Linked DNA regions of Notamacropus eugenii. Each later gene encodes a partner of the first gene's protein in a complex. Links are inferred from orthologs where the notes say so. Each region holds a gene or a part of one and is shown on either strand. Other genes may lie near its edges.

The links.
Region 2: the proteins of UBE2I (region 1) and SUMO1 are in contact, whole or in part, in a cryo-EM structure (PDB 9B62), measured with the Homo sapiens proteins. The link is inferred for Notamacropus eugenii from reciprocal best matches to the Homo sapiens genes UBE2I and SUMO1. Residues at the interface, in NP_003336.1 of Homo sapiens: Asp19, Lys48, Asn85, Cys93, Leu94, Ser95, Arg104, Lys110, Gln111, Leu114, Gly115, Glu118, Leu119, Glu122, Asn124, Asp127, Pro128, Ala129; in NP_001005781.1 of Homo sapiens: Gln29, Asp30, Ser31, Gln55, Gly56, Val57, Arg63, Tyr91, Gln92, Glu93, Thr95, Gly96, Gly97.

The regions. Positions count from the first base shown.
Region 1 is NC_092872.1:49,690,257-49,700,471, forward strand, and holds the start of UBE2I (SUMO-conjugating enzyme UBC9), read right to left. Parts: upstream 4,729-10,215; 5' UTR 4,499-4,728; intron 4,236-4,498; exon of another isoform or gene 4,028-4,235; intron 969-4,027; exon of another isoform or gene 914-968; intron 1-913. UniProt on the Homo sapiens protein: Accepts the ubiquitin-like proteins SUMO1, SUMO2, SUMO3, SUMO4 and SUMO1P1/SUMO5 from the UBLE1A-UBLE1B E1 complex and catalyzes their covalent attachment to other proteins with the help of an E3 ligase such as RANBP2, CBX4 and ZNF451.
Region 2 is NC_092877.1:298,544,984-298,555,513, reverse strand, and holds the start of SUMO1 (small ubiquitin-related modifier 1), read left to right. Parts: upstream 1-6,151; 5' UTR 6,152-6,495; coding exon 6,496-6,507; intron 6,508-10,530. UniProt on the Homo sapiens protein: Ubiquitin-like protein that can be covalently attached to proteins as a monomer or a lysine-linked polymer.

The DNA of each region.
Region 1 (10,215 bases):
TTGGGATCTTTGTTTTCTTTTGCAACTTGGCTAATGTGGAAATGTTCTGCATGACTACACATGCATAGTCTGTATCATTTTAAAAATGTTAAAAGTTCTGTGTACAGGTAACTGAGGAAAAAATATTTTAAATGAAAAAAAAAAACCCAAAGAACTCCTTGAGGACAAGAATCATGTAATTTTTAGATCTTTCTTAATGATTAACATAGTGTTTTATATACAACACATGTTTAATGTTTATTAAGAAAAAAACCCCAAAGCAAAAAACAGTACTCCTCCAGAATTCTAGCTAGTCCGTTTCTTTCCAACGCATAAATCAATTCCTTTTCTGCCCTGCCTATTATATATTATTCAGTCTTGTATAACTGGATTTAAAGAAAGTTAAGGAAGGGAATATATAGCTGAATGCATCACTAAGGAAGTTACCACATTAGTTCTGAAAAGCCATGAATGAGGTTTTTCACTTAAAAATAAAACAAAACCTCAAACTCGATTACATCTGTTTTAATAATAATCCTCAACCACCTTAATCTATAAAGTGCTGCAGGAGCTCAGCGTGCTCAATAAACTTAGAAAAATTCATCTGATCCTTATAACATCCCTAGGGGATGAGGGAGGAAAAAAAAAACCCAACACAGTCAGTTCAAAGAAACAAAATATAGAAAGATTGAAGTGATGTGATGTTCAAGGTCATCCAGCAAGAGCTTTAAATCAAAACAGATCTTTTGATTCTTAGACCACTGTTCTATCTAGTTGTGTAGAGGTCAAACCTTTATAGCTTTGAGTACTATCAAAAGGAATAAGCAATGCTTACAAGCAAGCATAAAATATAATTATGAAGAAAAGGAAAATGGCAAAAATAATGATTTTTGGAATCAAAGGTTCTGAGCTGAGTCCAGACTTTGCAACTTACTATGTGAAGGACTTTGAGCCAGTCGCTCAACCAGTCAGGGTCTCAATTTTGCTATCTGTAAAATGAGAGCATTGGATCAGATGATTTCCAAAGGCCCATCCTGCTCCATAGTCTATTCTTTTATATGAGAGGTAGGAGAATGGAAGAGCTACAATTGCCTCTGATTCCACAGGTGTATAGGGCAAGAAATGCTTACTTTTTTATTCCATTACACAAGCCTAACTACCTATATTTTTAAAAATCTAATTATATAATGTCTTTTCTTCCTGAAATTATTTATAGCTTGAATGAAGGCAAAGGGTTGTTGGGACAAAGTAATCTCAAGGTCAATTTCAATCCTTAGTCTTAGCCTAAATTACCTGTTCTCCTTTAGTGTATCTAGTTAGGTTCTAGACAGAAATGCTTCCTACTTTTTTAGAAATGCTATTAAAGAGAGCTTAAATGTACACCTGTAAAAACTGCAAAGTCCCTTCCAATTCTAGGATTCTCTGTTTATCAGGGGGAAAGTTAGATGTTACCTTACAGTATACATAACCAGATCCCACTTTAAAATTGGTCTAACTTCAGAAACTAAGCACTTAATGGAATAATCAAGTGTTCCTACTAGTTTAAAAGCAGAAAAATTAATCAGGGGGAAAGTTAGATGTTACCTTACAGTATACATAACCAGATCCCACTTTAAAATTGGTCTAACTTCAGAAACTAAGCACTTAATGGAATAATCAAGTGTTCCTACTAGTTTAAAAGCAGAAAAATTAAGTCATGAAGAAATAGCAATAACTTTATCAAGTGTTCAGAGACAAGGTAAAAATGCTCTTAAGCACAGAGTTAAACTGAAATACTGCAATTTTATTTCTTCCTTACAATCCCTTTGATAATGGCTTGATCCTTACATGATAGACTGAATCACACTTAAAATGCTTCATATTCCCATTACACCTTCTATAACCCTCAGGTACATAACAGAAACTAAGAGATCCATCACTTAGTGAAACAAAGTTCTGGCACATCTGTTTAACAATTCAGAACTAGAAACTGAAACCACTCTAAAGTATCTATCTCCTAACCATTCAAGACTCTGGGATGTGATCTATTTTTGTAATGGAACCACAATAAATTTGTAATGAATCCAAAATTTATCTAAATCCTAGAAAAGTCCCTCTTGACATCAGATTCTAACAGCATTTTCCCTATTAATGAGACATTTAAGATGTTTTTAAACCACCATTCCTTTTAAGTCTAGAAAAAGTTTAAGTTTAAAAAAAAAGTTTAAATTATGGAGCTGAATTTCTAATTTCACTTTATTTTAAATGCAACTTTATTCTAATCATCCCCATAATAACAACACTATTAACTGTGACAGTGAAAAACAAAAACATTAAAAAAAATTTTAATGCGTCCCATCATCTGGAATTAGTACACTCCAGGAAAACCTTTGGTATTAGCAATGTTGCTTTGATTTTAAGCCACTAAAACCAAAAAATGACTGACAGTCATTTCTTTGTCTGTTCAAATTTTCTGTATGTTTAAGATTGCTAACTGGGCCTAACAACCAAAGAAATAATTGTAAAAAAGTCTTTTTTGTTGGACTTATGGTACATTTTGTGTTCTTGCCAACTTTGTCTTCCCCTCTCACAACTGAAAATTGGACTGTCCTTTCACTCTTCCTAAAGGGACAAGGCATCTCTGAAACACTGCCAAAAATGCAAGAGGGAATGGATATTTTTCTTTAAAAAGTGAAGAGAATTCAAGAATAAAGGTAGAGAAGATTTCAAAAAAGCATGAGTATGTAGGGGGTAAGAAGATGTATATAGATTCTACTATGAAAGGATAAAAGAAAGGGCAATCCAGTTTTCCCTCTTACTAACTTCTGTCAATTTCGGCTCTCTATCAGGCAAGTCTTATCTAGCAAACCCAAGAGCTGTTAACAATAAAATCAAGCCCAGAGATTACAAGAATACGGGGAAAAAAAATAAAAAAAAATGAGTATCCCACGTTCTCTTAATCCAACCAATCCCATTTTGGCTGTGTGTCCCTTTCAAAGACCTGATGGATTGTTACTTTTTTTTTTCGGAGGTGGGGCAAAAGTGGGAGCAGTCAAAATGACCCTACTATCACTGAGAAGCTAAATAACCCAATTGAGTTTTTCTCTACCTCTAGATCATTTTTAAAGTTACTTCAGTAAGATCACAGGGAATTTTGGACTATAATTCACTCATCCCATCAGCCTCTCACTGAAGTTTCACGTGGGTATTATTTTGGTTGCTGTGCTACTACCGTAACACCGGATAACTGGGTCCGTACTTAGAGAAAAACTCAATTCCAGGGGCCTTTAAGTTCCTCAGCAGTGCACACAACCTAGAAGTCTGATCATTCAAAATTGTTGGGAAAAGATGCCATGGGGGAGGGGGGTTTGGAGAGACAGGGTGGAACATGTGAGCAGCCTTGGAATACTGTTTTTAAGAAAGCCACCACATTCCCAGGACAGCTCTCTGCGCTATTTTTACGTACCCCTTTCTCAGCTCCCCCAAATCCCTCCATCTCTCTACTAACAGGACTTAATGCGAACAATCAGGCAGCCGAAGGAGGGAGGCGACTCCATCTCGACGTGTGACCTTGGGCCAGTCCCTTTCGCCTCCCTAAGCCTCAGTTTCTCTCTACAGAAGAGGAGCCTCGAACAAGACGAGCTCTTGGGTCTCTTCTGTCCGAGACCTCTCGGCTTGGATGACTCCTCCTCCACGTCTACCTACTTTGAGTGGCCCGTCGGGGGCCTCAGAGAGTCCCAGGAGGGAGGGATGGAGGACAGCAGCTGGCGGCCGAGGCCAGACTGCCCCCCCACCCCCACCCTAGCCTCCTCGGGGAGGACAGATTCGCCGGAGCGGCCCGGCCCAGTCCCCAGGGAGGGAAGCGTCCCAGCTCCCAGCCGGTCTCCGGGCCCGGAAGCCTCGCTCCATTTCCCAGACCGGGTACGGCCCGATGGCTGCAGCCTCGGGAGAAGAGGAGGGAGCGGGGCCGGGCCGGGCCTCGCCAGGAGGGAGGAGGAGAGCGGCGCTGCTACTGCCGCTGCCGCCGGGCCCAGCTCTGCCCGGCCCGGCCCAGAGGGGCTAGCCTCACCTCAGCACGGCCGCGGCCCCCGGCAAGTGTCCCGGATAGAGGCGGAAGGTGCCCGGATGGTCGGTGGCTACGGCGGCGTTTCCCTTTGTCTCGGGACTTTCCCTCCGGAGCCCGCTCCGCGCGCAGCCGGACCCAAGACGGCAGGACCCCGGCGCGGCGCGGCGCGGGGCGGGGCGGGGGGAGGGGGAGGAAGCCGCGGGCTGCCCCGCCGCCCGCCTGCGCCCGCGCGCTGCCGCCGCCTCCACCCCCGCCGCTGCTGCGGCTCCCCTTCCCCCACCCCTTCTCGCCCGTGCCTTCTAAGTCCCTCCGGCCCCACTGGCTAGGCGGGTTCGCCTCCCCAGGGAGCACGACGGGGTACGAACTTCGGGCGTAGGGACCCCCGAGGAGTAATTTCTTCCACAGGCAGGGACTTAGCTACCTGTACACTTAAAGGAGCCGCGACCCTAATACTAGGGATCATCTGCAAACTACCTTTCGGAATGAGTTCGTTCATCTGAAGATACGCGTTGAAGGAATACAGAAAAGGGGACGCAGGAAATCCCAATGGCTCTTCGGATGCTCGGAGGGAGACCCCAAGGCTTCCAATCCCCGAGGTCCCCTAGTCAGATAGAACCAAGAATCTTGGGGAAAAATCCACTGAGGCCTACAGATCAACCCGAGCATCTCAGTGTCCAGATGATCCCCACAAGCACAGAGACCTCTGAAACCCTTCCGGATTGGTCACTTCTGAGAAATGGGCGGGGCTTACCTCATATTCAACCAATGAGAGGGATCGGTACAAAACTCCGGATCCTGCCGGATAGACGGAAGTAGAATTGTAGACGGTCCCTAAGTGACAGCGGGGGCCAGAGAGGAATGGGGGAGGGGCAGGCTACAGTGTGGGGGAGGGGCGAGAGCGAAGGACCCGGAGCCAGGGCGGGGGAGGAATTTAGTGGGCGATCCTCGAAAGGCCTCCCTCCTTCGGCCTAACTCGAGGCCCTCCCTCCCGTATGTAGTGTAGACTTTCCTTCGCTTGGGTCCAGAGCAGGCGGGGGCGGGGGGAGACTTCGAGAGCCCCGGCTTGGCCCGGGCCCAACCAGGCCGAGCTTCCGGCGAGGCTCGGGCATGGCCTCCTCCCACTACCCGCCCCGGGGTCCTCCGAATGTAGACTCGTAGCCCTGGAAGCTGCCAGGGAGCTTGGAAGGCATCCCTTCTCCTGGACGGCGGGGCCCCCGGGCCCAGAGAGGCCGGGCGCTGGGCCAAGGTCATTGAGGCATTCGAATTCAGACCCCCCCATTCCCAAGGTCATCTCCGGCCTTACCCATGGGTCTCTGTGTTTGCTAGATTAGAAAGGCTGAGCTGGGGACGTTCCATGGAGGGGGCCGAAAAGGTGACGTCCATCAGCATCTAGGAGAAGCTGCTTAAGTCTGTCCCAAGAGATCGGAAGAGACCTTAGCAATACCTTTCTCGTGCCACCTCCCAGACCCAGCTCTCATGCATTCTCCAAGAAGTCTTCCTCTGATGCCCCAATTTGGAAGTGATATACCTTTAGAATGGAAAGAACCTTAGAGGTAATTTTACACATGGGTGGCTCCCTGTTGCCTATACAATAAAACACACCACTGTCCATGATGCAATTTCAGCTGTGGATGAGCGTGGGCTGTTCCTCTATAACTGGGATATATTTTATTTCTTCATTTGGCAAAATCCATTCCTTCAGCCCAGGGGCCACCTCTTCCTTGAAGCCTTTTCTGATCCACCCCAAATTTTCGTAGATTAGTTCAACTGGAGTTATTCCTTTGCTCTTGTGCTGTTTTATTTTGTATCTTATTTGTGGACACAAAGCCTCCTTCCCTAAGGCAGCTAGGTGGCATAGTGCATAGACTGCTGGTCCTTGAGCTAGGAAGACTCTTCTTGCTGAGTTCAGATCTGGCCTTGGACACTGAGTAGCCATGTGGCCGTAGACAAACCACTTAACCTTGTGTACTGCAGTTTCCTCACCTGTCAAATGAGTGGGAGAAGGAAATGGCAAACCACTGCAATTTTTTTGCCAAGAAAACTCCCAGTGGAGTCACAGAGAGGCTTGCACAACTGGATAACAACAGCTTCCTCTCAAGTAGATTGTACACTAATTGAGGTCAGGAATGGTTTCATTTTCTGCCTCTGTGTATCACCTGGCAATGCCTCTCAACTCTTAAGAAGGTCCTGCCAAACATGGTATCCCACCTCCAAGGTGCTCTGTATCGCTTCAGATGCAGAGATCAAAACTCACATGCCCTCGATGATGTGTTTACTTATCAGTCATACAACTAATTCAAAGCAAAGGCATTTAATGAAATTGCATGGAAAGAAAAGTAATAAAACATTTCCCCCATAAATCTAATGCAGACACATCCACAGATAGATATTGGGAAGGGTAGACATGTAGGCCAGTGGACACACAGGACAGACTTACAGTTTTGACCTAATAATGATGTTCTCTGGTACTGTTATAGCACTGCTCTTGCTGGGCCTCCTTTCAACTGACATCCTGAGGCATTTGGTCTCTGCCAAGTGTATAGGCTTTGGTGGGTTTTCTGGGCATGATGTGTAGTCTCTGCTGTTAGGCATTCCTACCACTTGACTTTTCTGATTATTTTGTAACTTCTACCACAACTGGGTTCATTGGAAATGAGTTTATGGTTTATATAGGCTCTAAATAGTTCTTAGTATATGCCTAGTTACTGATTGATTTCAGCTTTTGGCTGCAGCTGGTGCCTAGAGGTGCTAAGATGCACCTCTTAAAGAATTAGCACAGCTGGCTCTCCTTTTACCTTAAAGGCTTAAGATACAGCTCTTTTAGAAAGAGAGGGCTCTTTCTATTCCCAGTAATGAGGCTAGGGAAAATCCTTAGGACTTTGGCTTTTTCTTGGAGACTTTATGAGTTCTCAGAGCCTTGGTCCCTTCTAGATCCTAACTCTACCATCACAAGGCATTGGGATGTTAAATGTTTGCATCAGTCACCCCATCCCACTTTAAGGAATTACCTTACCTCTCTTAGAACACTTCTATTGAGTCAATCAACCAGAACTGTTAAAGTAGGTGCACAAAATGCTTAAACGGTTTGGAAGGAGTGGAAGTCATTGACTGAGATCAAATGATGAGGAACAGAAAGTATTTGGGATTGGTTAAAGAGCCAAGTGGGTCTGTATAAAATAACAAGTCAGTTGGAATTTCAGCTGGGATTTGAGTAACAGGCCAGCTCGGGGGTCCGAGGAGTTCCAGCTAAGTCCCTAGGAGGGAATTACTTGTCTAGGAAGAGAAAGGCCTCTTTCTCTTTCCATCTCTTTTTGAACTTCAGAGGGTTGGAGGATATAAAATTCTCTTGTATTCTACCAGTGTTCCTGGTATCACAGTTGCTGTTAGCATTTTCTTCGGGAATTGAGGACAAACTAGACTTTAGGAAAAGAGTTTCTTGACTTTATGAGGAGCCCAGCAGAAAACTGCTCCTCCTTCAGAGGACTCTACAAATGGGAGAAAAGGTCTTCTGATCTTCAAGAGCTGTGAGTTAACTCATTGCCACATGTATTCTCTAAGGTTAAGTCCACTTTCCTCTGGACTCTGGATTTACTGTGTGGGAGTATACCTCTGGTGTGAGGTGACATGGGGTGTTTTATAGTAACTGTTCTAATACCATCTTAGTAAACCATCTATTTCTACAAGCTAATGAAATCAACAATCAGTGATGTTTTGTTTGTCCTTCATTTTGGAAGAGGATTAATGACATCACAAGTGATATCTTGACTTATGAATGAACTGAATTTAAGTGAGGCAACATTCAACAAAGTCCCCAGCCTCACCATCTTCTTCCAGAGTCATTGAAGTCCTGTGGGAGGACAAAAGTCAGGACAGCTGGTAATGACCTGGGATGCAGTAGGGGACCTTGGTGTATTCATTGTCTTACCAAGCTCTAAGGGCTCTACAATGCCTGCTTCATCTACCTTCACGGTTGTTGGAACAAATTGTTCTCATCTGCCCATTCCACTTGAGTAAGTCTTCACATGCTTTGGGTGGAAATCCTCCTAACCCATCAATGGGTTTGGGGCCTGTTGGTTACTCTCAACCTAATTTAGCCCATCTGCTAAGAGAGTCTTACTGGGGTGTGGCCACTCCACATGTGGCACCATGTTGGAGCTACAGGTAGGTTGAGCAGCCCTGAAATGGATTTGGTAAGCCCTCCCACCAGAAGTGCTAGTCCTCCCTGAACAGCCCAGGTAGAAGCATGACAATAAGACTAGAAAGTGATTCCTGGCCCCTCAGCATTGCCTCCTAAAACTTGAGAGGAGATGTAGGGACCCAGCCTACTAGTCTGAGTGGGATTTGAGAGGGTGAGTCCTAAGTATGGGCCATGTCAGATTGACCTATGTCTTTGTGTTCCCAGCATGTTGTGTGGATGGCTTAATAAATATTTGATGAGTTCACTTTGAATCTGGGCTACTCCTCTGCCCTTATACATCTCTTACTTAGCAAGAATAAGTGACTTATAATAATGGCTGGCTTTTATATAGCTCCTGTGGTAAGCACTTTTAGTATCTCATTTGAGACTCACAACAACCCTGGGAGGTAGGTGCTATTATTATTTCCATTTTACAGATGAGGAAACTGAGGCAAATAGAGGTTATATGACTTGCCAGTGGCATACATCCAGCACTTCTCTGAGGCTGCATTTAAACTCCAATCTTCCTGACTCCAGGCCTAGTGCTCTATCCACTGCACCACCTTGTTGCTTCCACCTTCCTCGTGGTTTCACAAGTGATCCTTCCCTGTTCATACCTTAAAAATAAGTCTGTCTTCATTCCACAAGCACTTATTCAGCACTCACTTTGTGATAGACAGGATGCTGGGGAAACAAAAACAGGAAACAAAACTGTCCTGCCTTGGAGAAACTTGAGTTCTCTTGTGGGAAAGTGAATACTATGTACACAGATAAGTGAATTACAAAATACATGCAAAGTCAATATAGGACATGGTCTCTTGTGTACTATAGCTATTTCCCAGAATCCTGGAACAATATTTCAAGTTGAAAGGGACCACATAGGCCATCTACAGTAATGCAACCAGTATCTGGCCCATGAATCCAAATTATAACATCCCAAGGAAGTAGTCATTCACCCTCCAAACACCTACAGAAACAAGAAACTAATTAGTCCCACCTCCATCGCCTCAAGGCAACCCACTTTTAGATAGCTCAGACTGTTTGGGAAATTAATTCTTATGCTGAGTCAAGACCTGCCTCTATAACTTCTGCTCTTGGCTTCTAGGTCAACCATCCAGAGGCAAGTAGAACAAGTCCAACCTCTCTTCCCCATAGTTGTCCTTCAACTATTTGAATGAATGACTATGCCTGCTTCAGCAAAACACTCTAAAAAGTTCTGGGGGTATAATCTTTTCTCTAAAAGAAGTTTCAGATTGAAATCAAGTAGAAAGGCACAGGTGTCCTTGAAGTGCAGAAGTGAAGCGGGCGGTAATGTAATATCCTTTGATGTCCTTTCTGTTGATAAAATCATAACTGTTTCTGAAATTGAACCATTGGCCAGGGCTTTGGACTTGGTGACAAGAACTTTCTTTTTTGAGTCTTTAGAGGCTATTGTATTTCAGCAGTGGTTGAGATGTTCAGCTTAGCTGGAAGCAAGAAAAGTGGTCAAGGGCCACTGTTCCTAGGACTCATGGACTATGGGTTCTGGGCTGTTTCCACTGGGATCCAAGGGAATTTGATGGCTGAGGTGATGGCCATATTCTGACTTGCTGAATACCTGCTACCTCTCCTCCAGGACAGCTTTTTGCCTAAGCTCTATTGGTTCCAATCCTACATCACTAGTTGCCTTTTGGACATCTCTAATCAGATGACCCTTAGACTCAACCCATCCAAAACAGAACTCTTCACCTTCCCTTTGTATGCTGAGGACATTACCTTCCTTGCAGTCCCCAGGCTTACAAACTTGGGGTCATCATTCACTCCTTCCTGTCACTGACATTCATTTAGTTGCCAAATCTTGCCATTTCTATCTCTATACCTTTCCTGAGTATAACTTTGTGACTTTTCATCTGGCTGTTTCAATAACCACCTAATTGTTCTCCCTACCTTAAACCTCTCCCCACTCCAATCCATCTAACACACAGCTATCAAAGTGACTTTTTTTTTTTTTACAGTTTTCAAATTATTTTCGGTT
Region 2 (10,530 bases), on another chromosome or scaffold:
CAATTGAAGGGCCAGCTCCAAGACTTGTCATTACTAATGTCTTTGAAAGCACACCAGTTCTGACAGTCCTATTCCTCATTATGTGGTGAGCAGACAAGAACCAGCTCCGCAAGTCTGTACATGCTCCAACTCAGGGAACGGGGCACTTCCATCACATTTCAACTTGCCTTTCCAGAAGCAGACTTCTCAGCCTCTTCTTTGTGAAGTATTGCATCATTCCCCATCCCTTATACTAACAAAGATGGGCAAACTGGCATTTTTTCTTCATAGAAACTGGGAGCTCTGAGTGTAGAGTAGGGAGTTCTTAATGTTTTTATGTACCTGTTCTCAGAATAATGTTTTTAAATGCTTAAAAATATAGGATTACAAAGGAAACTAATGGCATTGAAATAAATACTTTTTCCCCCGTCCAAATTCAGAAATATCCTGAAATCTATCTATGGACTCCCCCAAAAAGAGATCCCCAGTTTAAGATCTGATCTAGAGGGTATTCAGTTAAGAAAAATTTCAATATTGTGTTCAATTAAAATTTTTTGTAAAGGTAATTCTTTTATTTTCTAATGATTCCCTTTAAATTTTAAATTTCAGGAGTCCAGGAATTGTCCAAAGTCTATTTTTTTTTTGTGTCTCCAGTCACATTTAGTCCAAATGTGGCCAGATAATCCATAAGTATTTGTAGAATTGATTTAAACCTGCTCTGATGTGAGACTATTAAAAGCTAAGAAACTGCCTTGAACTTGAACGTACTAGTAGAATCCAGTCATGACTTTAGTTTGATATGAGAATTTTAAAAAGAAAACTTCTTTGTCCTCTTTTTCTCCCTAACTTATAGTTTGTGTGATTTGCATTGAACAATCAGTTCACAAAATCAACGTATTTTTGAACTGAAAATGTTCATAGAATTGAATGCTTATTAAATGTCCCTTTTATTTTATCTTTAAAATGATTTTAATTAAGGTCTTAGAAGGAGATTATCTTGAGATTTACTAATTTTTGGTTTATTACTAGATAAGTGGTTATTTTCCCTTACTCAGAATTTGTACCTGTTTAATTGTTGTTCCATCTCTAAACAGAATCAACGTAGAGACTAGAAAACCACATGAGAACCTGGACATAGTATTGTTTGTTTCACTACAGAGCAAAGCTCAATATAACATCTTTTAATCTGCCAACGTTTTGTCTTTTTCTCCTCTTTTCTACTGCTTTTAGTGTACCATATCATTCATGGATATTTCTTAAATTTCATTTGGGGGCAGAAGAGCTACTCTGGTCTTGAAGATACAATTTTAATTACCTAATCATTTCTTTATCAGTGCATAGGGTGCTAAACCAGGAGTTGGCCTGGGAAAATCTGTTACCTTGATCCTTTAAATTTTTTTTTTCTTTTTTAAAAAATTATTTATTTGTTTTCAATTTTCTTTTTCTTTTTTTTAAACATTGATTTAAGTTTTATTTGCCAATAAATTAAAGTATATTCATGTTTTATTCTTTTGGACACTTTTAAAATTCAAAGTCCCTAAGAAAAGGGCTCAGCTTCCCATTTAATCTTCAGATTCAGAACCTTCCTCATCTTGACTAATCTGGAAATAATGAAGTTTGTAAGTCTCCTTGTCAGATGCAACCACATGAAGCCAATCACGAAGATTGTACTTCTAAAGATATTTGTTGGTAAGATATTTTAAGTATCGTTTAGAAAATTGCTTCTCAGACACAATGGTGATCTTATTCTTGAAGCGTTCAATATGAACAACATTCCCTAGGTTCCCCGTTTTTCCATTGACTAACTTTCTCTTTCAAGAATTGCTCAAAATTTCCAGAATCAAAGATTCCATCTTTAACTGGATGAGTAAGGTCAAGGTTAAACTTCCAAGTTGATCTCTTAACCTTTTTATCTTTTGGCAGCGCCATCTTAGACATGCCCGTCATGAGAAATGCTTGTTTTCAATTTTCAACAATCACTTCCATAAGTTTTAAATTTTTTCCCCTCCCTCTCTTTTCTTTTCCCAAGATAACATGCAATCTTATATCAGCTCTACACATACATTCTTATTATGCACATTTTCACATTAGTCATGTTGCATAAAGAATGAAAATAAATGGGAGAAACCATGAGAAAAACATAACCTAACAAAAGAGAAAATAGTCTGCTTTATTTTACATTCTGACTCCATAGTTCTTTCTCTGGATATGGATGGCATTTTGCATCATGAGTCCTTTGGAAATGTTTTAGGTCCTTGCCTTGCTGTGGAGGACTAAGTCTATCAAAAACAGTCCTTTATCAAAAACAGTCCTCATACACTGTGGCTGTTACTGTGTATAATGTTCTCCTGGTTCTGCTCACTTTACTGAGCATCAGTTCACAAAAATCTATCCAGGTATTTCTGAAGTTTGTCCATTCATCATTTCTTTTTTAAAAATTTAATTAATTTATTTGTTTTCAGTTTTCAACAATCACTTCCATAAGTCTTAAATTTTCTCCCCTTCCCTCTCCCCCTCCTCCCTGAGACGGCATGCAGTCTTATATGGGTTCTACACAAACATTCTTATTAAACACTTTTCACATTAGTTATGTTGCACAGAAGAATTAAAACAAATGGGAGAAACCATGAAAAACAAAACATAACACAAGAGAAAAGAGGCTCCTTCATTCTGTATTCTGATTCCATAGTTTTTTCTCTGGCTGTGGATGGCATTTTTGCCTCAGGAGTCTTTTGAGGATGTTTTAGGTCCTTGCATTGTTGTTTAGGCTTAAGGGTTTAAGGGCTTAGTTTATCAGAAACAGTCTTGTCACACTGTGGCTGTTACTGTGTATAATGTTCTGGTTCTGCTCATTTCACTCAGCATCAGTTCATATAAGTCTTTCCAGGTTTTTCTGAAGCTCAACTGTTCTTCATTTTTTATAGTGCAATAGTATTCCATTATATTCATATACCACAACTAGTTCAGCCATTCCCCAATTGATGGGCATTCCCTCGATTTTCAGGCCACCACAAAAAGAGCTGCTATAAATATTTTTGTACATGTGGGACCTTTCCTCATTTTTATGATCTCGGGATACAGACCTAGAAGTGATATTGCTGGGTCAAATGGTATGTACATTTTTGTAGCCCTTTGGGCATAGTTCCAAATTGCTCTTCAGAGTGGTTGAATCAGTTCACAGCTCCACCAACAATGAATTCGTGTTCCAACTCTCCCACATCTTCTCCAACATTTATCATCTTCCTATTTTGTCATATTTAGCCAATCTGATAGGTGTGATGTGGTACCTCAGAGTTGTTTTGATTCTCATCTCTTTAATCAATAGGGATTTAGAGCACTTTTCATATGACTATAGATAGCTTTAACTTCTTCCTCTGAAAACTGCCTGTTCATATCCTTTGACCATTTATCAGTTAGGAAATCACTTGTATTCTTGTAATTTGACTCAGTTCTCTATATATTTTAGAATTAAGGCCTTTACCTCAGACACTAGTTGTAAAAATTCTTTCCTAGTTGTCTGCTTCCCTGCTAATTTTGGTTGCATTGGGTTTGCTTGTGCAAAAACTTTTCAATTTAATGTAATCACAATTATCCATTTTGCACTTCATAATGTTCTCAGTCTCTTGTCATAAATTTCTCCATTCTCCATAAATCTGACAAATCTACTATCCCTTGTGTTCCTAATTTGTTTATAGTATCAGCCTTTATACCTAGATCATGTACCCATTTGAACTTTATTCTTGTACACGGTGTCAGGCATTGGTCTATGCCCAGTTTCTGCCACACTATTTTCTAGTTTTTCCGGCAGTTTTTGTCAAACAGTGAATTCTTATCCCAGAAGCTGGTGTCCCTGGGTTTATGAAACAGTAGACTGTGATAGTTATTGACTACTGTGTTACGTGTGCCCACCTATTCCACTGATCTACCTTTCTATTTCTTAGCCAGTACTAAGTGGTTTTGATGATTGCTGCTTTATAATACAATTTAAGATCTGGTATGTCTAGGCCACCTTCCCTAGCATTTCTTCTCATTAATTCCCTTGATATTCTGGACCTTTTATTCTTCCAGATGGATTGATATTATTTTTTCTAGATCTATAAAATAGTTTTTTGGTAGTTTGATTGGTATGGCACTGAATAAGTAAATTAATTTAGGTAGAATTGTCATTTTTATTATATTAGCTCAGCTTACCCAGGAGCCACTGATGTTTTTCCGATTGTTTAGATCTGACTTTATTTGTGTGAAGTGTTTTGTAATTGTGTTCATACAGTCGCAGGGTTTGTTTTGGCTGGTAGACTCTCAAATAAAAATTAAAAAAAAAATTTTATTTTCAGTTCCAAATTTTCTCCTTCCCTGCTATCCCTCCCTCACCAATCGAGAAGGCAACAAATGTGATACCTATTATACATATGAAGTCATACAAAACATTTCTACTGTTAGTCATGTTGTGTGTGGAGGGGGAGCAAGAAAAATTAAGAGGAAAAATATGCTTTAATCTGCAATGAATCCATTAGTTCTGTCTCTGAAGGTGGATAGCAGTTTTCATCATGAGTCCTTTGGTATTGTCATAGATCATTGCACTGAGCAGAGTAGCTAACTTTTACACAATTGATTATTGCTTTTAATTAATATCGTTATTGTGTACAACGGTCTTCTGATTCTGCTTATTTCCTTTTGTATCAGTTGATATGTTTCCTCTTCATAAAATAGTGTCTGAGGCCAGATTTGAGATGAGTTGTCCTGACTCTATCCACTGGGCCACCCAGCTGCCCTAGGCATGTTCTGTCAAATTAGAAAAATTTCCAATCCAAATCTAGGACTAGATAATGCTTTTATCAGAAGACCTACCTCACTAAGGTCCCAGAATGATGTCTCCTAGGTGGTGGATTTCCTCTCTTTCTCCAGAAATTTAGATCATCCTTTAAGAACTGTGATCAGAATGAATAGAGGAAATACTCACAGAGAGATGGTCCTAGGTCCTAAAATAGGATACCTTCACATCTTAATGAATTACTCCTTCCAGGATTATTCTTATTTTGAAAAGAAACTCTTGAAATGTCTCAACCCAACCCTTCCCACTCTTCCGTTTGGAGGAAGGAAAGCAGGAATAGAAGGGAATAGTCTTGTTGCAGTCTGTTCTCATCAGATCTCTCTGGGGATAATGTTTAGTGTTGGAATCACAATTTAATGTCATCGATAAGCTGGAATGGATTGAGATGAGGGCAACCAGTATAGTCAAGGATCATGAATCAATGTCATTTCAGGAGAGGAGCCTCGGGAAAACTCGGGGGGCCCTAAGTACAAAGAAAGGCACCCCACGCACCCCCTGCAAAGGGCATAACCAGGAAGTAAATCTGGACTTGCCAGGAAAAACTCCTCATCGTTAGTGCTACCCAAAAGTGGAATGGGCCACCTTGCCTCTGACGGTCTTCACGCCGAGGCGCTGCCAGGTGCACGGGATGGACCAGATGGCCCTAACCCTCGACCTGCGTGACTCTGAAAGTAGTCTTCCTAACCCGTTCAAAGCTGCTCCTCGGAGGCTCACAGGTGGGGCCGGGGCCTTCTTAGAGAGAAGGAAGGAGCCCCGGCTGGAGACCTGGAGCTCAGAGGCGTTCAAGGTCATCCGGTCCAGGCCTTTCCTTTCATGAAACAAGGAAACTGAGTCCCAGGAAAGGCACGCATGCCTTCCCCAGGCCAGCAACCCCTGCATTTGAACCCGGGGCTCTCGGCCAGCCGAGCGAGCTGGGCTCTGGGCTCCGATCCCAGCACCGGGCGCCATCTCCAGACGTGGTGCCTTTTCCCCGCCAGTGTCCCGTGCCAGCCTTTGCGGATGGCGCTCGAGGCCGGCCTAGCGCCCGGTCTCCGAGCTCCCCTCCGCTCTGCCCCGTACAGCGCGTCTGTGTGTCTCGTTTGCACACGGCGTTAGGCTGAGCGCGCCGAGGGGCGAGGCTGCCTGCGCCGCCTTTGTACACCCTCTCCACTCCCAGCGCCACGCCTGGCGCGTAGCAGGCCCCGGGACGTGCCCGCAGACGGGCCCCCTCGGACGAGCCCCTGCGCTTCTCTGGGCCTCGGCTTCCCCACGTGTAACGGAAGGGAGAGGCGCGGAGCTAGGTCTACAGTCCCACAATGCGGATCTCATCACCCTGCCCCAACGGGCGGCGGGCCGTGGCCTCTCGGGTCAGGGCTCGATGCAGCCGTCCGGCCCGAGCCGCAGGCAAGGACCCGGGCCGCGGCGATCGGGCCCAGCGTGACCTCACCCGGGCCACCCCGCGGGGTCGGTTCGATACACTCCCCCCACACCAAGCCCCTCTTCCCGCTTCTCCCGCCGCCCCCTCTAACTCTTCGCTCCTTTTCTGGGCGGGGAACGGAAGTGACGTCAGGCGCATCGGAAGTCTCTGCCGCCGCGGTGTTGTGCTGTGGGGAAGAGAGGGACAGCTTTAGAAACCCGGGAGAGTGATTCTCGCCCTTCCGAGGCCGGTATCGCGCCGAAACCCCCGGAGAGAAGCAGCCGTCGCCATGTCTGACCAGGTAGGAAGCTTAGGGCAGCGGCTTGACGGGCAGTCGGACGCGGGGCCTGCGATCTCGCGGCCCCTCCGGGCCCGCGGCCGGACCGGGAATGGGGGCGGGGAGGAGAGGGCACAGGAGACAGGGGAGGGGGCGGCGGGCGCGGGGCCGGCGGCCAGCCAGGGTCGGCGTCTGGCACCCGAACGTCCGGGGCCCGGCCTCGCGAAGCCGGAGCCTCCTCGCCCCCTGCGAGAAGTCCGTGCACTTCCCCGTGACCCGGGGCGCCCGAGGCACGTCGGGTCGCCGGCCCCGCGGACCGGGTGTCAGCCAGCCCCGGAGCCGTGCCCATCGCCCTGGCTCAGGCCCCCGGGGAGCGTCCGGGCCCCGCAGAACCCAATCGCGCCTGACGGCGGCCGCGGGCGCCTAGGCCCCGGTTATATAACGGGAGAGGGAGCTCGCCGCGGCGGCCGGCAGGGCCTCGGGGGGTCGGGGGGGGCGGCCTGAGCGCGGATTCCCCTTCGGATGCCGGGGACGCGGCGGCGGCGGGGGCTGCCAGGTCGCCCGGAGCCCGGCAGCGCCGGCTGCAGCCTGGCGCCTGGGCCCGCGACAGGGCCGGGCCCCCGCGTCCGCGCCGAGCTCGGGCTTTTTCTCTCCGGATCCTTTTTCCGGTGGATGGGGTGGATGGGGTGGATGGGGGTGGCGGCGGCTCCCCTTGTTCCGTGAACTTTTCCTGTTTGTACTTCGGAGTGGTTCGGCGTTTCCGCGGACTGGGAGCCCCGGCTCGCCCCCCGCAGCCCTTTCCTAGGCATGGGCCTAGCGATGACTGCTGTTTGCGGCCGCCCCGGAGTAAAACAAAAGGACCGGACCCGAGGAGCTTCCCGCGGCTTTCCCCAGCTCCCACAGTCAGGATGCCCGGGCCAGTGTGTGTGGGCTCGGGGTCCGAGCGGAATCTTTGCGGGGGAGCCTTGCCACCCTTGCCTTGTGTTTGGGGCTGGTTTACAGTGCACTTGGTGAGGTCCGGAGTACTCGATTGATTAATGTCAAATGGAGAAATCGAGAGTCAGGTTGCTTGGATGAAAGAAAACCCTAAGATTTTTCTTTCATTTCAAAACACTGCGGCAGGGTTGGAATTTTAAATTTGGCAAACTTATCCACGTGTCTGTTTATTTGTCAGTTCTGTGCAGCATTGCTTGAGGGGAAATCCATCGGATTTTAGGAAATCGAGACATTTGGAAACATTTTTGTTATAAAAAGCAAGCCGCTATTTAGGTTAGCTCTGGGTGGTACTCAGCACTTTAATAGGCATCTGAATACCATTATAACGTATCTCATTAAATTGTTTATTCAGTTACTAGTTAGAGAATATATGTAAAATATGTTAGCAGTCTTTTGTTTGACATTTAAACATGGGAAATGTGTCAAATTTCTTATGTAGAAGTATTTTTGGGGGATGAATGAAGGAAGCAGACAAGCATTTATTAAGCACCTGCTATGTGCCAGGGGATTTACAAGATTTATGATACTCACAACAACCCTGGGAGGTAAATGCCGTCGTTATCTCTCATTTTACCGTGGAGGAAACTGAACTAAGGCAGACAGGTTAAGTCTCTTGGCCAGGATTACCGAGCTGATAAAAAGTCCTAAGGCCAGTTTCAGTTCAGGTTTTCTGGTTCTAGGTGCAGTGCTTTGTGTGCTGCGACACCTTGCAGCCTCAGAATAGAAAAGAATTGAGAAAATAAAAATTACCGTATCTTATCCAGAATAAAGTAGGCAAGTGTTATGAAATATAGGTAATTCCTTAGAAGCTAGGAGGTAAATTAGTAGTTTGAGATTAGAAATTTGAATTGTCTTCATCAGATAACATTTATTAAAAGACGAAAGATCTGATTTTAAAAAAGTTGAAATACCCTCAGGATTTAAAATCAAGAGCAGGAGCCCTAAAGTTTTCTAGTACAGTACCATTCAGTTTGTAGAATATCGTGCACAGTATCTGTTCAGAAATTCTACATTAAGTCCTGTTGGAAAGGCATATTTTTTAGGAACCTTTCAGTTATTATCAGTCATAATAGGAAAACTAAGGAATAGTTCTTACATTTCTACCTTTAAAATCAGAAAAGTTAAACTTTTTTTTAGTAAATAGTATTTTATTTTTTCCAAGTCCGTGTAAAGATAGTATTCAACATTCATTTTTATAAAGTTTTGAGTTCCAAATTTTTCTCCCTCCCTCTTTCTTTTCCTTTACCCCCTCCCCAAGACTGCAAGCAATCTGATATAGGTTATACATGTGCAGTCATGGCAACATTTCCATATTAGTCATGTTGTGAAAGAAGAAACAGAACAAAAAGGAAAAGCCACAAAAAACAGCAAAGTGAAAATGTGCTTCATTCTGCATTTAGACTCCATATTTCTTTCTCTGAATGTGGGTAGCATTTTCTGTCATGAGTCTTTTGGAATGTCTTGGATCTATTTTATGTTACTGAGAAGAGCTAAGTCAATCATAGTTGATCATCACATGGTATTACTGTTACTGTGTACAATGTCCTGGTTCTGATCACTTCACTCAGCATCAATTCATGTAAGATTTTCCAGGTTTTTCTGAAATCTGCCTGCTCATCATTTCTTGTAACACAATAGTATTCCATTATATTCACATACCACAACTCATTCAGCCATTGCCCAGTGGATGGGCATCCCCTCAATTTCCAATTCTTTGCCACCACAAAAAGAGCTGCTATAAATATTTTTGTGCTTGTTGGACCTTTCCCCCTTTTTATGATCTCTTTGGGCTGCAGACCTGGTGGTGGTGTATTGCTGGATCTACGGGTATGCACAGTTTGATTGCCCTCCAGAATTGGATCAGTTCACTACTCTACCAACAAATTTTTCCCACATCTTCTCCAGCATTTATCATTTTCCTTTTCTCTTGTATTAGCCAGTCTGATAGGTGTGACATGGTACCTCAGAATTGTTTTAATTTACATTTCTGTAATCAGTAGTGATTTGGAGCATTTATTCATATGACTATAGAGAAAAATTAAATTGTTAAAAAAGTTTATTGGGGTAGCTGTCATCACAGAGAGCAAATTACTTGCTTTTGGAGATAAAGTGAAACTCCTTTATATTGGAGATGTTAAGGAAAGCGACTGACACCCATATAGTGTGAATTTAGGAATCTCCAAATGATCACTGGATAATCACTGGGGAAAAAATGCTTTCTGGGTCACTGCATGGAAGAACCATTGTCTGCAATGACTGTAATGACCTTGATTTTTATGCTGTTTTAATTGTATTTTTCCATAAACCATCTGATCCTCCCCAACCTCAGTGTAGGATCATAAACTTGGAACTATGTGAGTACTTAAAGCTTCTCTGTTCTAGCCCCTACCTAATTTTTCAGATGAGGCACTTGAAGTCCAGAGAGGTTCAAAGACTTGCCCAAAGGTCCCAAAGTAGCAAACTGGGATCAGAACAAGTTATCTCCCTCCAGAGCCAGTCTCTTTCCATTATAACATTATACCTCTTAAAAGTCGACTGAAGTCCTCTATTAAAGCAGAACAACACAAAAAGATCTAGAAGTTGTTACATGGAAATGGAATTTTATTTCTTCATCTGTTAAAGGAGGGCTTTTGGACTTTGTCATTTCTAAGGTTCTTTTTCTTTTTTTCAAAAATTATTTTATTTGTTTTCTACAATCACTTCCATATATCTTAGATTTTTCCCCCTCGTTCCCCCTCCTTCCCCGAGACGGCCTGCAATCTTATATGGATTCTACACATACATTCTTATTAAGTACATTTTCACCTTAGTCATATTGCATAGAAGAATTAAAATGAATGGGAGAAACCATAAAACAAAACAGAGCAAAACATAATGCAAGAGAAAATGGTCTGCTTCATTCTGTGATCCAGTTCCATAGTTCTTTCCCTGGATGTGGAAGGCATTTTGCCTCAAGAGTCCATTGGGAATTTTTTAGATCCTTGCATTGCTGTGAAGGGCTAAGTCTACCAGAAAAATTCCTCTTACACTGTGGTTGTTGCTGTGTACAAA